2 linked regions of the Danio rerio genome follow. The protein of the gene in region 2 interacts with the protein of the main gene of each other region in a pairwise test. Links are inferred from orthologs where the notes say so. Each region holds a gene or a part of one and is shown on either strand. Other genes may lie near its edges. The genes, in order: zbtb33 and ctnnd1.

The links.
Region 1: the proteins of ctnnd1 (region 2) and zbtb33 interact in binary tests that used the Homo sapiens proteins (3 or more experiments, as listed by UniProt). The link is inferred for Danio rerio from reciprocal best matches to the Homo sapiens genes CTNND1 and ZBTB33.

Annotation. Positions count from the first base shown.
Region 1 is NC_133189.1:38,008,240-38,011,311, reverse strand, and holds part of zbtb33 (transcriptional regulator Kaiso), read right to left. Parts: intron 2,686-3,072; 5' UTR 2,684-2,685; coding exon 809-2,683; 3' UTR 782-808; exon of another isoform or gene 360-781; intron 1-359. UniProt on the Homo sapiens protein: Transcriptional regulator with bimodal DNA-binding specificity.
Region 2 is NC_133176.1:47,477,289-47,481,121, forward strand, and holds part of ctnnd1 (catenin delta-1), read left to right. Parts: intron 1-95; coding exon 96-246; intron 247-2,402; coding exon 2,403-2,598; intron 2,599-3,833. UniProt on the Homo sapiens protein: Key regulator of cell-cell adhesion that associates with and regulates the cell adhesion properties of both C-, E- and N-cadherins, being critical for their surface stability.

The sequences.
Region 1 (3,072 bases), on a different chromosome or scaffold from region 2:
GCCATAAAGCACTGCTACTCATGTGATATTGCTCATATATATCACATTCTATGTTTATATATTATCTCAGAAATACACACTCACAATTGTGAGAAATAAAAGTCCTACTTTTGAGAAAGAGTTCTGTTTATATCAGAAGTCAAGATAGAACTTTTTATCATGCAATTCATACTTTTTTTCATCAGAACTGTCAGTCTTTAACAAAGTTTATGTTCATATCACAATTTCAAGATATAATTTTACAGTTCAGAAAATATGTACAAATTGCTTGCATTTCTAACCCAGTTCTGAGGAAAAAAGGCCAAATGTTGAGAAGTCTTTAATTCAGAAAATTGCAAGAAATTTTCTTTTTTTTATTACTCATATTTTTATAATTGTGACTTTTTCTGATCAGAATTGTGAGATTGTATTAAAATAATGAGATATAGACTTGCAATTGCAATAAATAACAAAATTATTGTCTAAAAACTATATAAAATTATTATAACAAAAAAGTCATAAGCCTTGTCCCAATTTGGAATAAAAAAGTCAGAATTGTGAGATACAAATTATTTCCTGCAATTCTGAGTTATTTTCTTGCTATTCTTCTCCCTCAGAAATTCAGACTTTTAAGGTAAAAAAAATTCTATATAATCAAATACAAACTCGAAATTGTACAAGAAAATTTTCAGAAAGAGTCAGTCACTTCATCACTAGTTTATCCAGCTACAGAAACAGGCCTCCACAGAAGAGCAACAACAACCTGTCTTTCAAATAAAACACAAAGAAATGAAGAAGGCACCTGAGCCAGATCGCTGAGCAAGTGTGCTCAGTATGTCTCTGGTATAACAAACTCAAATTCATTCCTGGCCGGGGCATTTATTTGGTCGACAGGCTGTGGAGGTGGAGCAGGGCGAGCATTTTGTCCTTCCGATTCTACAAAGATGTCATCCCAGTTCAGTGCTTTGCTTTGGTTAGATGGAAGTGGCTGGTTGGTACAGTGCTCCTTTTCCGAGTTTACGTATTGGATTGTCCCGTCTTCACCAATCACCGGACTTCCCCCTGACTCGTCAGAAACAAACGAATATGGTTTGAACTGCACCGTTTTACAAGGCAGCAGCCGATACAAGTTGTTGGCCGAGTCGTCTTTCTCTTTCCTTCCAGAAGGGTCTTGGTTGTGCGCTTGCTTGCAGTGGGTGGACAAAATCTGATAATTGAGAAACATCTCGTTGCACAGTAAACACTGGTACCGCCGTTCCCCCGTGTGACTGATTTCGTGTTTGGTTCTGTACTCGGCCAGGGCGAATACCTTGTTGCAGTAATGGCACGGATACTTTCGCTCCCAAGAATGAGTGTTAAAGTGCCGTCTAAGGCTCGTCAGGCAAACGTACGGGCGTTTACAAACAATGCACACGAAAAATGTCTTTCCGTCCATGATAATTTCATAGTGATCCTCCTGATCTGGCTTGAATTTCTTCTTTGATTTTGGTGAGAGACTGGCTGTGTTGGGAGAGTCGGGTTGTATTTGGGACTTGCAACCTGGAGCTGCTCCCTCCCCGGGATCGTCTTTGACAGGAACGATGTCGTAGGTGTTTTCACCTATGTTGGCATACACTTTACAACCCGGCGATAGAGAATCAATTTCCGAGGCTTTGTCTAATGTTATTGTCTTCTTCACCGAAAGTGCTGGGATTACGTTGGTTGGTCCGTTACTGCTACTACATGATGACCTTACATCCGACAGTGTGATCTTCCCAGGATGATCAGGGGAGTGCTCTAGCAGGACCTTTTTCTTTTGGACACCGAGGACTTCGATGTTGTCTGAAGGCAGCGAGACGTTTTGAGGATCTGAAGGGACGCTGTCTGGACAGGCTGGGGGTTTGGGATTGCTATTTGAGCCTGTTCCTACTGGTGAAGTGAGAATACTGCTACTGTTTTCAGTACTTGAAAGGATCACAACGTCTGGATCAAGGTTATTTTGGAGTGATGCGTTTCTTTCTGACGATTTCTTTTCTTGGGGTATTGAGCTTTTAGAGGCGACTCCTTCCTCATTTGTGACTTTCTGTTTTTTAGTTTCTGGTGTTCCTTCGATATTTTTATGAACATCTGATATTTTAGTCTTTTGAGCTTGCGGGGCTTCAGTTTTTGACACAAACAGGACATCATCGCTGTCTGAGTCCTCTTTTTCTGTATTTGCACCAGTCATGTTGAACTCCTCGGCAGACAGTGAGAAGGTCTCAGTAATGATGGGCATATTCACTCCTCCATCCTCAGGTTTCTCTGGAGAGCTGACAATGTTGTTGTCGCCGTCTTTGGACAGGCCGGGTAATCCCTTGACTTGTGCTAGCGGGATCGCTAAATTAGCTATGAACGTCACACCCAGAATTTGACCGGCGTTAATTAGGTCTTCAAGTCTGTCAGATCGAACTCTGAACATTTGAGAAGTGTAAATGTAATTAAGGACCATGTCGAATATGTCTGCCTTTATGAAGTTCAGCTCTACAACTTTTCCAGCGACGGAAAACAGTTGTCGGAAGTAGGTGCTTGAGGCAGACAGGACACATTTGTGTGCCCTGAACTTGCGGTCTTGCACGACTATGGTGACATCACAGAATAAACCGTTGTGGCGCTCATCGTTGATGTTCTTCAACAGTGATCCTGGATACTGAGTGTCCACTACTGATATCAGCTTCAGTTTCGACATGCCTGTGGGGGGAAGAGTAAGTATAATAAAGTAATATGTACTTTCATTTATTTAACTTAGACGTGCAGATATTCGAGACAACAACAATACACCCATGGGAATAATATTGCAAAATACTATTGCTCATATTACAGTGCTTCCCACTAGGGCAGTGCGCTTTGGGGAAAATATTTCATTGCAATTTTTTTGACCAATATTGCAATTTCGATTTGATTTGCGATTTAATTTTGTAGTCAAGCTTCAGCTCAATATTCTGTTTCGTAAGTTCTTACTGCTAAAATGTAGTGAGTGTTAGTTAAAAAAAGGAACTGAAAAGATATTAACTTACTTAAACATTTATTCAAATGTGTTGTTAAATATTCAGAAATTGAACACTCATCTTTCTCTAG
Region 2 (3,833 bases):
ACAGAAATTGGGGAAAATAATATACAGGGAGGCTAATAACTCTGACTGCAACTGTATGACTTTTCCTTCATGCACCTCGTCCATTTTCTTTTCAGTATGGGCGCTACATCAGAGCAACGATGAGACAGGAGCATGGCCTGCCAATGATGACGGAGCTGCTGTCTCATGGGAATGACCGCGTGGTCCGAGCCATGTCTGGAGCGCTGAGGAACCTGGCCATTGATGCTCGCAACCGTGAGCTGCTAGGTGTGTGAGAGAAATCAACCAATCAGATTTGTCATATGCAGGGGTAGAAAGAGAACTAAAAAATCATACACTGGTACCATTACTTGTCCAAAAATGTAGAGTAAAAGTATATGTTGTAAATATTACTTAAAGTACGAGTGAAAAGTAGTCTTTTTCGTAGTACTCAAGAGTGGTTACGTGTAATGATATGAAAGGGTGATGCGTTTAGATGCGATTTGTGCATGTGTGTGAAGCGTAACATTCTTTCCTGAATTTAGTGATTAAGGCCATTTGTTGATTTGAGTCTTCATACAGTCGATATCTTCGTTTTCATTATCCAAACACTCTCTCAGTCATTGCATGTAATGATTTGGTGTCATCTTTGACATTTTAAAGGCTTCCACACTAGATGTTTGCTGAATTTATAAACAGGGTGTCTTATGGTATTAAAAGTTGATAAATCGATTGAGAAAATTAAGGCCCTTAAAATGTATAAAAGTCTTAATCTTGTTTTTACTAGGGTTTTAATGTTTTGTTTATGCGTTGTCCAAAGTGTTTGACTCCAAAAAATCTAAAATATTTATTGTCCTCAATTGGTTAGGGCTAGGTGCATCCAAGCTCCTTTGTCCGGTTGATGTCAAGTAATTTGCGACAAACGCGGGAAGGTGATGTGGCGCTCTCCACATCTAACAAAATCATAGAGCAGGGCTATTCAAATGTTTTGGCGCTCCAAATAATGTGACGAAGACATCGAAATAAATTTAGTTCAGTCGAAAAACAGCCGATATAATTATGAAGTGACTTGCGTCTGTTCAACACAGCACAAGCTGCAGTTAAAGGCTGTTACCTGACGTTAAGTGAGCAGCCAATTGAATACTTAAGCTTAAAGGCTTCTCAACGAAACTGCAGCAACTAAACAAAGTTATGACACATTTTGCTAGTTTAAAATTCCGAGCTACACCAAGGCTAATACGCACAAACACTGGATTAACTATAGCAGCGGGTCATTCACATATTGCATCTTTTCCGCTTGCAAGTTTGTTATTTCCAATGGAAGAATATATGCCAACATGCGTGCGCAAGCGGAGTGATGCATTTGCACCTTCCAGACGCGCGACTAGAAAACATCTCACGCCGTAGCGGTGAGAGTTGTGCGTGGCTTTCAGTGGAATGTAAACGAAAGATAGGTTAGAATTATTACAAATTATTAAAATGGTCATGTATGTATAAACGCAGATGATTACAACCGTTCATTTAAATACTTACTTAATATAAAGCTTAAATTTACATTAGACGTGATAACACCATCATTATTCTTCAGACTATAATCGTACAACCAAAATCTATAATTGTTGCATCCCGAATTGTTATGCAGTTCAAAACATAAAATATGAATGTGTCTGAACATAGAAGAAGCCTACTTAAGCAATGCACTGCTTTTGTTGGGCTTTTAAAATACAGCATTTCATTGGTTGTAAAAACAAATGCCACATTGTACAATGCAATGATGTTATGTAGTTTAAAATACAATATATTAATTTAAAGTTTGAAAAATACAACGTGGGTGTCTTAAGGAGCAAAAACTCTCCATATGGGCTCTTGTATGCTGTTGTGTCATCACTTATATTGCAAGTCATATCTCTATGGTCCATCATTTGGGATGCTTTTCATGAACTGGCCCCCATGACAAACCAATTAAATAGCCTTGCCATAGAGCAAAACAGACGGCAAAATGTGACTATGCATGTTCGCATACTCCTGGTTAGAGAAAGATGAGTTTAAACCGTGGCTGAAACCTGTTGCTGAAAACAACCAGGTAATTTATTTTTTCAAGGTTTGTTTCTTCCGAGCTTGTTTAAGTTCTGTTTATTAACTACTGTTTATTAGGTTAAAGGTTTTATACTGATTAGAACTTAGTGGTGACGTGGTCTTAAAATATTCTGAGAAGGTCTTTAAAAAGTCTTAAGGTATTGAAATTTCTGCTTTGGATTCCTGCTTATACCCTGATAAATGTGATTCACAGAATTGATTATTCTATTAAAAAATAAGTAAATAATAAAGTATTGACTTCAGGTTGACGGAAAATAGTTCAGTAAAAGTACTGATGCATCTAAAATGTACTCGAGGGACAGTACACATTTTTGACAATTTTATTGTCTTCCTTTTTTTCTGTGCAGGGAAGCATGCGGTGCCTAACTTGGTGGCGAATCTGCCAGGCGGAGGTCAGAGTCAACCTGCGCGCGCACTCTCGGAGGAGACGGTGGTGTCTGTTCTCAGCACCATGGCAGAAGTGGTCGGCTCCAGTGTGGATGCTGCCAAAACACTGCGCAGCGCCCAGGGCATCGAGAGGCTGGTGCTTATCAACAAAGACAGGTGCGATTTTAGTAACCGTTTCATCACATTTAAAGAGGAAATAAAATGAAAGGAAAGTAAAGACAACTGATTTATTCTAGTTGTATGATCTAATTTATGATACAGTAATTATTTGCAAAGCTGCATTTAGTGCTGAGCGTAAATGGAAAATTTGGAAAATTAAAAATTTTTATCAATTTCTGAGGTAAATATGTGCCTTCCCTTTAAATGGTGGTCTATTGAAGGGAATAGGGTCAATTTTGAGCTGTCAAGGAGTTTCTTTTACATTGTACACTGTTAAGGTTTTAGTGTAATTTTATCTGCGACTGACCTAAACCAACAAAAATGTTCGCACAATAACAAACTTATTCTTTATAGAAATATTGTCTAACTCTTAACCCTCGAAAATAGGCATGTTTTTTTCAATATTGCACACCTCTTAATGGGATGGTCTACCCCCCAAAAATGTAATTTACTCATGTTTCAAACCTTTAAGTTTCTTCTGTTTAACACAAAAGAATATGTTTTGAAGAATGCTAAAAACCTGTGACCATTGACTTCCTTAGAATAAGTTTTTTCTTCTATTGAAGTCAATGGTTACAGGTTTATTTCAATGGTTAATGGTAGGGTTGGGTACCGAAACCTGATGCCATTATAGTACCGTTACCTTTGTAACCGGTATGTGTTGGATCAAATCAGCATATGAATTTCGGTGTCTAATTTCGGTGCCACTGGTGCTGCGACAAGGACGTTAGAAGTATCAAAGGGGTGCATCAAAGGCACACATAGGTACGCGTTGTCACACCATCTCTAAACATTTAATTCTAAACAACTCAGAGGAATACGGACGGCCGATTTTAGGCGCTTCTTGTTGCTTAGAGAACGGACGCAGACAGTACATCGCATTTGGTGAGTGAGAGTGACTCTTCAGATCAACACGCACGATCACGTTCATTAAATTTGCTTAAACTAAGCGTTCTAAAGCGTATTGTACAAGCAAGGATTCTGACACGGCAACATGCGCACTTGCTCTCTCTGTCAGTGACGGTGCTGGAAGATTATTTTGAGTTTAAGTTATTTAATTATCTTGTTTATGAAGACTGCGGAGTGATGCATGAAAAAAAATAACTTCGCAATTGATTAAAGGAAATATATTAATGCTATGCAAATCTATTAAATATGAATTTGTTTACTTTAAACTTTAATTATATTGTTCTATTAAAATAATTTTTTTTAAAGATTGTAAAATGAGAGAT